Sus scrofa: one gene and its partner. The protein of the gene in region 2 purifies or fractionates together with the protein of the main gene of each other region. This does not show direct contact. Links are inferred from orthologs where the notes say so. Each region holds a gene or a part of one and is shown on either strand. Other genes may lie near its edges.

Evidence for each region.
Region 1: the proteins of FBL (region 2) and SNU13 purify together in Homo sapiens (affinity purification with mass spectrometry; 5 studies listed by BioGRID and IntAct, with this or other methods). This does not show direct contact. The link is inferred for Sus scrofa from reciprocal best matches to the Homo sapiens genes FBL and SNU13.

Annotation. Positions count from the first base shown.
Region 1 is NC_010447.5:6,894,635-6,901,941, forward strand, and holds the end of SNU13 (NHP2-like protein 1), read left to right. Parts: intron 1-1,533; exon of another isoform or gene 1,534-1,668; coding exon of another isoform or gene 1,669-1,671; intron 1,672-3,397; coding exon 3,398-3,518; intron 3,519-4,179; coding exon 4,180-4,442; 3' UTR 4,443-5,392; downstream 5,393-7,307.
Region 2 is NC_010448.4:48,321,289-48,329,339, reverse strand, and holds the start of FBL (rRNA 2'-O-methyltransferase fibrillarin), read left to right. Parts: upstream 1-2,906; 5' UTR 2,907-3,025; coding exon 3,026-3,035; intron 3,036-8,051.

The DNA of each region.
Region 1 (7,307 bases), on a different chromosome or scaffold from region 2:
GAGGTAGACACTAAAAAGCTAGGGAAAGAACAAAAGGACAGAATAACATGAAAGAAAGGAGAGAAAAGGGAGAACAAATAAAAGCAGAAATTACTGAACTGGAAAATAGATCCTGTTATTGGGTGGACAAAATCAGAAGAATCTTTTGAAAAGCCTTTTCCACTGAGATTAATCAAAAGAAATAAATAAGGAGTGATAAACCTGAGACATAATCTGCAGATATTACAAAGAAAAGCTATATGAATAACATGATACCTATAAATATGGAAACTTATATGAAATGAACAAATACCTGAAAAAATACTCAAAAGCAGTTCAAGTAGAAATAGGAAAGCTGGATAATAGTAAAGAAACTAATATTGTGTGTTAATTATAACTTAGTAAGAAACAAATTTTTTTGACATAAAAAACTTCACACCTACTTTTGTTTTTATTTATTTTACACCTACTTTAAAAAATGTATTGAGATAATTTTGCACACCATAAAGTTCTGCTATTTAAATTGATAATGTATCAAATAATAGTGTGCTTTGGAAACTAACTTAATGTTGTAAGTCAATCCTATGTCAGTTTTTGTGTGTGTTTATTTGTGTCAGTTTAAAAAAAAAAAGATGAGTTCCCGTCGTCGTGGCGCAGTGGTTAACGAATCTGACTAGGAACCATGAGGTTGCGGGTTCAATCTCTGGCCTTGCTCAGTGGGTTAATGATCCGGTGTTGCCGTGAGCAGTGGTGTAGTTTGCAGACGCCGCTCGGATCCCGCGTTGCTGTGGCTCTGCCGTAGGCGGGTGGCTACAGCTCCAATTAGACCCCTAGCCTGGGAACCTCCATATGCCGCGGAAGCGGCCCAAGAAATTGCCAAAAAAAAAAAAAAAAAGGTGGTAATAGGAAAAAGTAAAGTGTTTAACAGCGGGGTTTTTGTATATTTACAGAATTGTGCAACCATCATTTATTAAATTTTAGGGTATTTTATCTCAAAAAGAAAACATGTCCATTATAGAATAAAAACAGAAAAATCTTAAAGTTGGCTTTATCTCTAGAGTGCAGAAATGGTGTAACATCAGAAAAAATTTAAAAGTCTTGTTCATCCAACTCTACAAAAAATCTGGTCGAGTTCAACACCAATTCATATATAAAAGAAATTCTTAGTACACCAGGGAATAAAATAAAATAAATTTTCTTAATCCAAAATATCTAGAAGTAAGCCTAAAAGATATTAAAATTTTTCTAGAAATAACACTTTAGTTAAGAGCACTAAAGGGTTAAGTAAATATGTTTAAATGCATTGACGGATTCTGTATCCTAAAGAGGTTTTTACCTAAATTGGGATTATTTCAATCTACAAATCAGACTTCCCAGCAGGTGTTTTTTGTGGACCTTGAAAAACGGATTCTAGAAAATATGAAGAACAGATAATAAGAGGTCTCCCCCCTCTTCTTCATGAAACTCCTCCAGTCCTCACCAGGCTGAGACCGTGACAGTCACTCTGTTGGTGTTAGGGACTGGGTGCCTTGGTGCCGCAGGTTCCTGGCGTCACTTCCGCTGACGTCACTCTGACGTCACTTCCCGCTGCTCTGCGGGTGGTAGTTTTTCTGTTCTTGAGGTATCGGGTATCGGGCATCGGGCCGGAGACCAGCCAGAGACCAGGCAGGCGACACCGAGGCAGACCAAATGGTAAATATTCCTACCCGGCCATCACCCGCGGGTTACCGCCTGGAACCGCGGAGCCGCGTGCCGCGTGCCGCGGTTACCTCCTCCAAACCCGTCGTTAGACCGCATCACTGCGGGCGAACTGATCGGTGCTCAGGGGTAGTAACCGGGGCTGCAGTTGGAAATAGAAATAAATATTTGTAAAAGGAATTACAGGGAAAGCAAATGAGAAATTAATAAAAATGGTTGAAGTCGGAGGTGAAAATGTAGTTGGGAAGGAATGGAAAAGGCTGGGCGCCACTCTTTTTTTACCATACGCATATTATTTTGAAAGAGATCCAATGAGGTAGCATTTTATCCATAGGTATTACAGTATATGTCTACAAAATAAGGATTTTTGTTCCCATGCAATAGCCCCAAATTTAATAATTCCCTAATATCAAATATCTAGTGTTAGAATCAAAGGCTAGATCAGATTTTTTTTCTTAGCTACTGCCCCCACCCCACTGCTTGATCATGGATGTTTTGTTCTTTAGGAGGGGCCGTGGTCACATGGTATCTTTTGTGACGTTGGTAGTAATATCAATGTCTGAATCTATTTATCTGGTTTAATTAACTAGTTAGTGTGGGTTGCAAGATGATGATGTTTAATTGAATCATTCTTTTAAGCACTGTTAGCTTGATTTTAGAACCACGTAGACTTTTTAATTTTTAAGAATTTTTTAAAGCAATCTGAATACAAAGGAACCCTAATTGTATATCACATTGATAACCACAAGGAAAAAATTATTTGAATAACTTTTGAATATAATACTCTGACTGGATGGCTTTAGTCAGATATATTCTAAAAATAAAGAGAAATTTTCACCCTGGTGGGTTGGTAGTTGGTGGAGGTAGTATTGGTATAGCAATTTCTGAAATCATTTTATATGTATTATAGTGTAAAATAAATGAGAAAATTTTTGATGTTTTGGAAACCAGGATTCTTTTTTTTTTTTTCTCTCTTTCTCTTTTAGGGCTGCACCCATGGCATATGGAGAGTCCCAGGTTAGGAGTCAAATCCAAGCTAAAGCTGCCAGCCTATACCAGAGCCACACCACCAGATCTGAGCCATGTCTGTAACCTACACCACAGCCACAGCAAGGCTGGATCCTTAACCCACTGAGCAAGGCTAGGGATCAAACCTGCATCCTCATGGATACTAGTTAGATTCGTATCTGCTGAGCTACAACGGGAACTCCAGAAATCAGGATTCTTAATGAATACAGAAGATTCAAATATGGAAGGAAGTAGAATTTTGTGCTAGGTTTCTATAAATGATACATTAATTTAGGTTTAGTAAATTCGGGGTGAAACATGCAAACCCAAATTTCAAGATTGGCCCCGCGTGACTGAAAGGGGTTCTGAGCCATGGAAGCATGTTATAATCCATTTGCTATAATATTACCTCGCATTAGGCTAAAGAGGCAAAGGTACATAAGCTTCAGAATATATTATTAGACTATGTAAATGCTAAAAAAATTAGCATAATATTTTAGTTTTTCTCAGTTGAGAATGTGTCAGTTATTAAATGTGTTTGGGAATGAGGGAACAGGGAAGATGACCATTATCTCAATTTGTCAAAAATTACTATTAAAGTATAGTTGATTTACAGTGTCGTGCCATCTCAATTGTTGATTAAAGTATTTGTGACTTGTCTAGAACAACTTCTGGTTCAGTTTGACTCATGCTTTGATTCCCCTCCCCATAGACTGAGGCTGATGTAAATCCGAAGGCCTACCCTCTTGCAGATGCCCACCTCACCAAGAAACTATTGGACCTTGTTCAGCAGTCATGTAACTACAAGCAGCTTCGAAAAGGAGCCAATGAGGGTAAGGCAAGCAGAGGGTGCTCCAGGAAGCGTGTTAAGCGCACCCACTGTTCCTGTCGGGGGTCTCTGGACTAGATTTCCAACATGGAAAGAAGGCTGGATGGTCTTCATGGGGACCAGTGCGAGAACTTAAGAGCAGCAAGTGGTAATCCTTGGGCTGGCACTGGGTCACAGAGATAAGCAATCAGGCGTAAGCAGGTGAACAGTGCTGTAGGGTGTTGAATTTGCTTGGTGAGTTGCATGTGGTATAAGCTTTCCAGATTTATTGATCTTGGCAGATGGGGCTGGTAAAGCCCCTGATCTTTAAGAGTTTCAGATGTGCTCTATCACACTGCTTCATGCTGGCGGGGCTTGTGTGAACGCTGTTCCCGTCAACCAGGCAAGAGACGGTGGTGACTTGGATACGTGTGGTAGCAGAGGATGGGAAAGGGGTCTGATTCAGGATGTGTTTTGACAGAATTGATGGGTTTGGTGTTGGGTTTGAGAAAGGCGTTGGGGATGACTAAATTGGTGCTTGAATCCCTGTCACTTCCCAAGGCCACACAGGACACAGAGAAGTGCTTAGTCCTGGAAATTTTGCCCCGTTTTCTTATTTCTTTTCCTCGGAAATTCCCTGCCCCAACCCCACATCACCTGTGAGCCTAATGTCCTTCTCTCCACAGCCACCAAAACCCTCAACAGAGGCATCTCTGAGTTCATTGTGATGGCTGCAGACGCGGAGCCCCTGGAGATTATCCTGCACCTCCCACTGCTGTGTGAGGACAAGAACGTGCCCTATGTGTTCGTGCGCTCCAAGCAGGCCCTGGGGCGAGCCTGTGGGGTCTCCAGGCCTGTCATCGCCTGTTCTGTCACCATCAAAGAAGGCTCACAGCTGAAGCAGCAGATCCAGTCCATCCAGCAGTCCATCGAACGGCTCTTAGTCTAAACAGGTGGCCTCTGCCACACTCCCTCCTGGCTCCTCCCCCAGGGCTTGTGTATCATATTGTCTGTTAGCATGTAGTATTTCCAGCTGCCTTCTGTTGTTATAAAATATTGTAGTGCTAAATCTAGTTTTTGATTTGTTTTTGTCTTGTTTTATAGGTTGTCATCCCTTCCCCACCCCTTTTCCTTATCTCCCCTCCCCTCTCTGTCATCTCATCCTCCCTTTTGGATGGTGAGCTAATGCCCAGAACAGCTGGAAGCAGGGTGGTGACACCATTCAAAGGCAGGGAAGAGCCCAGATAAGAGGTTTGGTTCCAGCTTTCAGGCACCAACTTCCTACTGTGCAGAGTTGATCCCACTTTGTATCCTTTGTGCCTGGTATACAGAATCACTGCAGACATGTTTGAACGATTGAGGGGTTTCCTCTGCTCTCTAGGGCATTATGTATCATTTGGGGAGGAAGCATGTATTCTGTGTGATTGTTGGGTATATGTCCTAAGTGTTATTTGCTAATGTACCCCTACTGTTTGCTTTTGGTAACGTGATGTTATATTTCACCCCACCTCCCACCTGTGCCCCTGAGGGTGGCAGGGCAGCAGCATACCAAAGAGATGCGCTGCAGAATTCCAGAGGCAGCCTGGGTGGGTGGGACCTGGGATAATTGACCTTGGTCTTGAAGGCATGGCAAGAGATTCTGGAATGAAGGATTCTGGGCCAGTCAGGGAGAACTGAATGGAAGCTACAGCAGAGATGATAAAATCCGAGAAAACATCCTTTCTTTGGTGAAGAGATTTCTTCAGTGGACACTAGGTACCAGGTCTGAGGGCCCTTATGCCGATTTCCCGCCACAATGTGGGTCAGATGTATGTATTTTCTATCACATCAGAAGAACCGTGCTAATGTGTCATTCCTGTGAGCATCCTAATAAATACATATATAGATACCCAAGTGAAAGAAAGAGTGTGATTCTTCCTAGGTACCCAGCTAATACTTGAATGAAGCATCATTAGAGTGGTTAATAGTTTTTCGAACTTTTCACAAGGAAGCCGTGGAAAAGCCATCACCTCCACTAGGTGATTTCTGGTAGTTCAGAATGTCTTGTGCAGACCAAATCATTGAGGTGTTACTAGAACAGGATTTCTCAACCTCAGCACTCTTGACATTGTGGGCTGGATAATTCTTTGCTGTGGGGGCTGCTCTGTATATTGTAGAATGTTTGGCAGCATCCCTGGCCCTTGCCCACTAGATGTCACTAGTAATCTTCCACTCCCACAGACATTGCCACGTATTCCCTGGTGACAGTCACCCGTGCTTGAGAATGTGTAGCCCTCTGCACATTCTAGAGAGTGGGAGCAACTGGTATTAAAAGCCACTGCCATCTCACCTACCTTTTTATCTCAGGCCATAAGAGTTTAATACCTCCTCTGCCAGAGTACACATAGCTAGGTACCGAAAGGTCAAGCTAATGAGAACAGATGATGTGTAGCTTCCTCTTGGCCAGCTTGGGCCAATGTGACTACTCTACAAGGAGGTTCCTAGGGCATCTAAAGGCCTGTTCTGTACCCACTGGGCTAGTCATCTCCCTCCACTCACGCCAGTGTTTATATACCCTCCACCCCACCTCCCACCCAAGCAGTTTTATACTGTCGATGGTGGAAAAAAGACTGAAATAATTTCGGGGTGGAAGGAGATGAAAAAATCCAACCTCAGAGTTCCCTGGTGGCTCCCTGGGTTAAGGGTCCAGCATTGTGACTGCCATGTGGGTTCAATCCCTGACCCTGGAACTTAGGCATACCGTGGGTGTAGCCAAAAATAAGTCCAGCCATGTCTGCAGTGGGCATGTGCAGGCCATCTCTCCTGCTCAGGGGCAGCAGGTCACCACCACCTGGTGGACTGAAACATGTCTGCAGCCAGAGCATTTAAAAGGCCAAGAGCTAGTGCCTACTGAGCTGGGTGTCCATCTACGTTTTCTCATTGAATTTCCCCTATTCTGCGTCATTATTGTTATAAGGAAACTGAGGCTTGAAAATGCCAGGTAAACTGTCTATAGTCATTTGTTATTTATGTGATGGAATCATGTGTGTTGTGTATGTTTGCAGCATGGGAAGTTCCCAGGCTAGGGGTCGAATCGGAGCTGTAGCCACTGGCCTACACCACAGCCACAGCAACGCGGGATCCGAGCCGCATCTGCAACCTACACCACAGCTCATGGCAACGCCGGATCGTTAACCCACTGAACAAGGGCAGGGACCGAACCCGCAACCTCATGGTTCCTAGTCGGATTCGTTAACCACTGCGCCATGACGGGAACTCTGGCAATGCCGGATTCTTAAAGCACTGAGCAAGGCTAAGGATCAAACCCACATCCTCACAGACACTATGTCGGATTCTTAACCCACCGAACCACAACAGGAACTCCCAGAAGTTTGCATCGTAATGTGGCATGAAGAAGTTCCGTGGCCAGGGATGGAACCTGCACCACAGCAGTGGCCAGAGCCACTGCAGTGACTGCCAGATCCTGAAGTCACTGCACCACAAGGAAACTCCACAACCGAATTATGTTTGAAGATGATGTTTCTCTCCTGGGGAATTCAAGCAGAGAAGGCAAGCATTATTTATTAATTTACAGAGAAACTGAGATCACACAATTGCCGTTTATCACAGACCTCGGTGGTTGTCTTTCTAACTCATTCACACTGAAAGGTGTTTTGTTTGACCCCTGAGCTCTTTCATTCTCTCCATTTTGTAAATAGAACACAGGAAAAGGAGCCTAGACTTGGGTAAGGTCCATGCATAGGTTTCCTCCTCAACAGCTAAGAAATCCAGGGTTAAAAACAAAGGCCCAGTGTGGTACTTATTCTTACCCTCC
Region 2 (8,051 bases):
CAGTGGGCACGAAGGCTGAGGAGAAGCCTCTGCTTAGAAGGGCTGCATGGAAAGACACATCTTCAGGGGAGAGCTAGGCTGTGGTCAGAGCAGCCAGGTAAAAGGAAGGTTCAGAGGGAGGTCCTGTTGTGGTTCAGTGGGTTATGAACCCAACTAGTATCCATGAGGTTGCAGGTTCGATCCCTGGCCTCGCTCAGTGGGTTAAGCATCTGGTGTTGCTGTGAGGTGTGGTATAGGTGGCAGACACGGCTTGGATCCCCCTTTGCTGTGGCTCTGGCATAGGCTGGCAGCTGTAGCTCCGATTCAACCCCTAGCCTGGGAACCTCCATATGCCGCGAGTGCAGCCCTAAAAAAAAAAAAAAAAAAAAAAAAAAAAAAAAAAAAAAAGGCAGAGGGATCTGAAGATATAGGGAACATCTGGAAAAGCCCTCAGTGCCTCCCCTATCCCATCCCTGACCATTCTGCCTATTTCTCCCCCATCCTGGCCCTGTTCTCTCTACAGCTGCCCCTGTCCAGGGACCAGTCTGTCTGTCTCCCTCACTGGCCTGGCAGCTCCAGGAAAACTGGTCTCTTTCAGTCACCATTGTGTCCCCAGCACAAAACCAGCAGGGATCCCCCCCACCACCAATTATTCACTGGTAGTGCCAACTTCAGGTCTGCAGTGCCAGTTAGCAGGTGAAATGTATCAGAGCCAGGAGATGGTGCCAGGATTCCAGAATACAGTCTGTTGAGTATTTTCCTTCTTTAGAAAAAAAATTATTTTTAATGGGAAGGCAACAATAAAATCCCTAAGTAGTAGGTTTATCCTGAATTGAAGCCTTTCAAATTATTACAAAGCTCCTGGAAATCCAGCATAGACTCAGCAGATGTTCCATCTTAACATTTTTAAAAAATTTCAGGAAAGTTACTGTGCGGCTGGAATCCCCGCACAGAGAACTCAAGATATCATAGGTTCTGGAGTTCCCATCATAGCTCAGAGGTAATGATCCCCACTAGTATCCAGGAGGATGCAAGTTCGATCCCTGGCCTTGCTCAGTGGGTTAAGGATCCAAAATTGCCATGAGCTGTGGTGTGGGTTGTAGATGCGGTTCGGATCTGGTGTTGCTGTGGCTGTGGTGAAGGCCGGTGGCTGCATCTCTGATTCTACCCCTAGCCTGGGAACTTCCATATGCTGCAGGTGTGGCCCTGAAAAGAAAAAAAAAAAAAAAAAGACAGCATAGGTTCATTCAACATAAATTAGCCGAGCACCCACTGTGCCAGGTTGTTCTAGGTATAAAGTGACACAACAAGGAACAGGACAGACCAATGGATTCTCCTGGAGGTTGTTAATAACTTCTCATAGTACCACTCTTTTTTTATTTTTTCTTTTTCTGTATTGTATTGTATTGTATTACATTGTATTGTATTTGCTTTTTACCCAAGCCACAGCAGTGACCTGAGCCGCTGCACTGACAACTTGGGATCCTTAACCTGCTGAGCCACAAGAGAACTCCAATGCCACTTTTTTGTTTTTGTTTTTGTCTTGTCTTGTCTTCTTGCCTTTTCTAGGGCAGCTTCCCGCGGCATATGGAGGTTCCCAGGCTAGGGGTCGAATCAGAGCTGTGGCCACCGGCCTACGCCAGAGCCACAGCAACTTGGGATGCGAACCACGTCTGCAACCTACACCACAGCTCACAGCAATGCTGGATCCTTAACCCACTGAGCAAGGGCAGGGATCGAACCCGCAACCTCATGGTTCCTAGTCGGATTCGTTAACCACTGCGCCACAACGGGAACTCCCACTTGTTTTGTTCTGAGGAACAAATATATAGGATGCATATTCAAGTTATAAAATTACAAAGCACAAATTTCTCAATACTTAGGCAGAATCTGCTCACTCCTCACCCCTTCCTCTGCCTGCATCATGATCCATTGCAGCAGGGCCCTCATTGGTCTCCCAAACCTATTCCTTCACTCAGTTTCCCACATACAGCCAGGCGACCCAAGTGAGATTATATCCCTTCTTTGTTCAGGAACCTCTTTCTCTCTCAGAGTAAAAGCCAAAATTATCACCCTAAAGCTCCATACAATTTGCTTTGTCGACCTCCCTACCCTCATCTCCTCCCCCTCTCCCCAAGATTACTCTGCCCCGACCACATCCCTCACTGTTTCTGCAACCCTCCTTACCTTTCCTGCTTCAGGGCCTTGGCACCTGCAACCCTTGCTGCCTGCGTTCTCTTCCCGCAGATAGAACATGCCTCCCTCCTCATCTTCTTTCGCTCTTTGCTCAAAAATCACCAGATGGGCTCCCTGACCACCGGGTAAGAAATTTCACACACTGTCCCCCACTCCCAACACCAGTCCCTATTCCCTCCCTGCTATTTTCTCCAAAGCACTTACAGCCTTCTATCATTCAACAATGATTTTTACTAACTATCATTCAACAATGATTTTTACTAACTCGTTTGCTGTTTGTTTCCCCCACTGCAAGATGAGCTCCAGGAGGGTGGGGATGTGTCTGTCTTGTTCTCTGCCATATTTCCAAAGCCTAGAACAGTGCTTCGTACATTCAGGCGCATAATTAGTGCTTTTCAAATGTATGAATGCGAGTCCAGAGTTGGCCCTTGTTCTTGGGGGTGAAAATGGATTAGGGAAGGCTTTGAGGTGTAGAGGGAAACTTAGGGAGTTAATCAGGAATAGAGAAGAGGAGCTAGGGTAGCCCGTGCGAAGGTTTGGAGACCTGATTACTGGGGTGCTTGCACAGGTGGAGAGGAAGCGGGAAGAGTGTTCAGGCAGCAAGCGCTGCACAGGAAAGGCGGTGCCAGCGGCGGTCGAAGAGGCGGTACCGGGAGGGGCTCGGGAATCCCCGCCCACAGCGCGCACACAAGCCATGGGCGGGGCTGTGGCTCCGAAGGATGGGGTCTGCGTGCTTGCGTCACGCGCCGCACGTCGCCGCGCGCCTGCGCTCCTTTCCACGTGCGTAAACCCGGGACGCGTGGAGTCGAAAGAGCCTCAGATTACTGAGTAGCGAACCTCTGTGCTCGCTATGAAACCAGGTACGGGCCGGGGTTGGGATCGGGGGTCTGGGACTGGGGCCTGGTGGGGATCGGGGTGCCAGTCCGGAACGAAGGGGTATGGTGGTCTTGGCCTGGAGGCAGGAGTTCTGAGCCCCGGATCCGGTCTCTTGTGGGGAGGGGGGTCTTGGTTCCGCTCTCCGGTGTGGGTGAAGGGGGCTCGCTTTTGCATGGTGATTGAACTTGAGCCCGGGGTTCGGGTTCCTGGTCTGGAGCTTTGTGACTGGCTTTCCCGAGGTCACAGTCGTGGGTCGAGGGTCTTTGGCGTGGGCTTGAGGAGGGTTGTGTCTTGACCTGGGATTCGTTTCATTGAAGCTGTCGTTAGAGGTCTTGGATGTTGGCCCGGCGGCAGCAATCGCGAATACTAACCCAGAATCCAGATCCAGGCATCTAGGGTCTCGGATCTCTGGGTGTGGGATTTGGGAATTTGTCCTGGTTCGGAGGCGGAGAGTCGCTGATTCGGGGGTCCGAAAGCTGGGTCTGAGAGGACCAGGTATGCTCCTGTGTCGCCACCGCTACTGCGGTACCCTTGGCCCCAACACCCAGCTTCTCGGAGAGGGCCGGCATGGATGGATTCTCCCGGCTTGGTAGTCTCTCTGGCCCATTTTCCCGCTCTCCACTTACCAGAGAGGGGCGGGTCCCTGAGGATGGAGATCCTGGGCCTAGTGCTGATGAGAGATGAGATGAAACTTGACAGCCCAGTATAGGATTAAAGTGGGGGGGGGGGCGCGTAATCACGGAGCATGAGTGTTTTTATCCATTCCGATCTTACTCGAGATTTTGATGAACCCAGTGCATCTCCCTCTTGGTCTAATGATGAGAGTACAGGCTTTGACAGCAGAAGAGCCTCCGTTCAAAGTTTCAGTCCTCACTATGCTTAATTTACTGTGTGATCTGGAGCAAGTAAGTGACTTTCTCTCTCTGAGCCTCTGTTATCTCATCAATGAAAAATGGCACCCAGCTCTAATTTAGTGAAATCATGTTAAGAAGAAATACCGGGAGTTCCCATCGTGGCGCAGTGGTTAACGAATCCGACTAGGAACCATGAGGTTGCGGGTTCGATCCCTGCCCTTGCTCAGTGGGTTAAGGATCCGGTGTTGCCGTGAGCTGTGGTGTAGGTTGCAGACGCAGCTCGGATCTCGCGTTGCTGTGGCTCTGGTGTAGGCCGGTGGCTACAGCTCCGATTAGACCCCTAGCCTGGGAACCTCCATATGCTGCGGGAAGCTGCCCTAGAAAAGGCAAAAAGACGGAAAAAAGAAAAAAATCAGCACCTGCTGACAGTCATTTCACAATATACCAGTATCAAATCAACAGGTTGTATGCCTTGAACTTACACAACGTTATATTATGTCAACTGTATCTCATATAGCACAGCCCTTGACATATAATAGTATTGGCTCCAATTGTTATCTTCTTAAGGGAAATGAGATTATGGTCCTTCTTCCTAAGTCAGGCCAAGCCCCTCCCTGTAACTTGGTTCCCTTGGAGTTGGGGAAATCTTCTATCCTGACCAAAAGTTTTTGTTTTTTTTTTTTCTTCCTTTCCAGTCCCCCCTGACCCCAGCCTGTGGAGGGATGGGGTCATCTGGAGGTGTCGGGGGGAGGGGGAGGCTGTTTTGTGGGTCCATGCTGCCTCCCAAGTTCCCTTTCTCTTCTTCAGTGTTTGGGGATCTACTTGTGGAATGAGAAGTGCCAGGAGGGTGTCTCCATGAGACCCTGGTATGCCTGCAAGCATCCTGTGGTCTGATTACCCCAGGAGTGGCGCAAGATACACCTTCCTTCCAACCCCTCCTTCGCTGTATTAGGCTGTAAAGTTGTAGAAATTGTCAGGAGTCAGCTCTTTAGCAAGGAGTTTAATCTGGTTGAGAGAAGAAGCCTTTGGGAGATTCTGAACCGAGACATGATGTCAGTCAGACTTGACTGAGACATTTAAAAGGATCCTTCCTGCTTCTGTGTATAAAAGATTTTAGGAGGGGGAGTTCTTGTCGTGGTGCAGCGGAAAACGAATCTGATTAGTATCCACAAGGATGTGGGTTCGATCCCTGGCCTCGCTCAGTGGGTTAAGGATCCAGCATTGCCGTGAGCTGTGGTGTAGGCCAGCAGCTGTGGCTCGGATTGGACTCTTAGCCTGGAAACTTCCATATGCCACGGGTGCAGCCCTAAAAACCAAAAAAGAAAAAAGACTTTAGGGGAACAAGAATGAAAGCAGGAGGAGTTCCCATCGTGGCGCAGTGGTTAACGAATCCGACTAGGAACCATGAGGTTGCGGGTTCGGTCCCTGCCCTTGCTCAGTGGGTTAACGATCCGGCGTTGCCGTGAGCTATGGTGTAGGTTGCAGACGCGGCTCGGATCCCACGTTGCTGTGGCTCTGGCGTAGGCCGGTGGCTACGGCTCCAATTGGACCCCTAGCCTGGGAACCTCCATATGCCGCGGGAGCGGCCCAAGAAATAGCAACAACAACAACAACAACAAAAAAAAAAAAAAAAAAAAAAGAATGAAAGCAGACTCATCAGTGGGAAGTTGGTTGCTGTCATCTACTAGGAGATGATATGGCTTAGGCCAGGGTGGTAGCAGTGGACCTGGCTGACAAATTGTCACCATTTGGGAACATATTTTGAAGATAGAGCCAACAGCTTGTATGCAGGTGTGAGAGAAGGGTCAAGGACAACTGAGGGTTTGGGCGTGTGTAACTGGAGGGGTGGAGGTGCCATCTTTGAGAGGGAGAAGGCCCGAGGTGGAGAGCAGTTTAAACTGGGGGTCTGTGGACCATCCACCCAAAACTTCTAGAAAAAGGTGTGTGAATGTGTGTGTTGTTCAGTGCATCTTTCTAAGAACCCAGGACCTGAAATGGATTAAGACATATTTCCTCACAGTGCTTGCTGAATGCAAGTGATTTAAAAAGGAGACATCTGGGGTTATGGCATAAATCCCCTTTATAATCGCTATGAGTGGAATTTTGTTATTGTTATTGTTAGATCTGTTTGAACTGTTTTAATACATGTGGCCTTGTAATTTAAAAAAAAAAAAAAAGGCTGTATTTTGAGTATTGACTGGATCCACTGTGGCCCATGCCGGGCCTGGGGCCTGGGTTACCAGTCTTTACACCCAGTGGCTTCTCCCCTAAGTAGGGAGGAGGAGGGATTTATTCCCCTGAGTTTGAATAATGTATTCAGATGGTGTGCCAGGCAGTGTATTAAGTGAAGTGCTTTGTGGGTACTGTCATTTAATCTTTATGACTCTATGAGGTGGGCACTGTGTAAGTTCCATCTCCATCTTGCCAGTGACTTTTTCAAGACTTGCCTGAACCTTCCCTCCTCTCTAGGGTTATGAATGGCGTGGCCATCTCCCTGTATTCAGCACAGGAGCTGCTTGAGGGGAGGGACCCGGGCTCTGGTCACCATCTGATCACCTGCCTCCTGAATGGACAGAGAGGGTGCTTTCTTCAGGAGACAGAAACCCAGGGGCTGAAGTCATCAGCAGACAGCTCCTTTAATATTGATCCCCAGCGGGGTTAAGGGTCTAGCATTATCTCTGCTGTGGCTTTAGTTTGATCCCTGGCCCAGGCACTTCTTCCCCACGCTGCCAGCCTGGCCAAAAAGAAAGAAAAAGAGAAAGAATTATTTGGAGCTGTGGGTGAAGACTGCAGCAGCTCAGATTGCTGCAGAGGTGCGAGTTGGATCCTCAGCCCAGCACAGTAAGTTAAAGGGTCTGGCGATGCTGCAGCTGCAGTTCCAATTCGGTCCCTGGAACTTCCCTAGGCCCTGGGTACAGCCATAAAATTTTTTTTAAATAAATAAAAATATTTATTGAGCCCATACTTTGTGCCAAATGCTGTGCAGGGTGCTGTGGGTATAGTGATGATCCAAACAGACATCCCTGTCCATTCGCAGCTTGATTCTAGTGGGGGAGGCAGGCAGTAGTAATTTCTCAAATGTCACGTGTGATCCTTGCTAAGAAACAGCAGAGTACAGGTCAGGTAGCCCGAGAAGGCCCTTCTGAGGAAGCAGCGTTTGCTCAGAGGCCTGACTGCAGTGGAGGGGGCAAGTCAAGCACCTGTCCTCAGGACCCAGGGAACAGGAGACACATTTAGAAACTGGAGAGTGAGTTCCTTCTTGGGGAGGAAGAGCAAGGAACCCAACTTAGAGCGAGGTCAGAAAAGTCAGCCAAAGCGAGCGTGGTGGAGGTGGTTCTCCTTTTGGGCTGCACACAGTAGTCACCTGGGGAACTTGAAAAGGCCCCCTGCCCAAGCCCCCACCCCAGACAATTACATCAGAATCTCTGGATAACAGGATCGAGCAAGGGTGGGACCCACTGATTTAGGGCTTTGAAAACTGGAGAAAAGAATTTTGATTTCCCTTGGAAGGTGATGGAAAACCTTTGAAGGAATTTGGGCAGGGGGCTGCCAAGATGTGGTTTTTGTTTTGCAAAGCCCAGTCACGGCGGCTATGCGGGCCGTGGACGGCAGAGGGAGCAGGAGACTAGAGCGAAACAACTCTTGGCACAGTCAGAGTTTTGAAACCTGTTGTGTTTTAAACAGTTAAATTACAACGAACTATTAAAAGCTGTAGGTTTTCGTCCTTGACACCACAGAAAGGCATGAGTATGGCTATAATGGACCTTTACCAAAACTTTAGCACATTTATTATTGACTAGTTTTCATCAAGTGAGATCTTTTTTTTTTTTTTCTTTTTCAGCCGCACCCACAGCATATGGAAGTTCCCCAGTCAGGGATCGAATCTGAGCCACAGCACCTGCGACCCACGCCAGCTGCAGCAACGCTAGGTCCCTAACCCACTTCGCCCCTAACCCACCACAGCAGGCCAGGGAGGCAACCAGCGCCCCCATAAAGACAAGCCAGATCATTGACCCACTGCACCACAGTGGGAACTCCAAGATCATGTTAAAGCATCACTAATTTTCACTCTAATGACTTTGTTACCTCATTTTTCTGAAAGTACTGCAGAGAAACCTTCACAGAAAAGTCAAATACTGAGTCTTT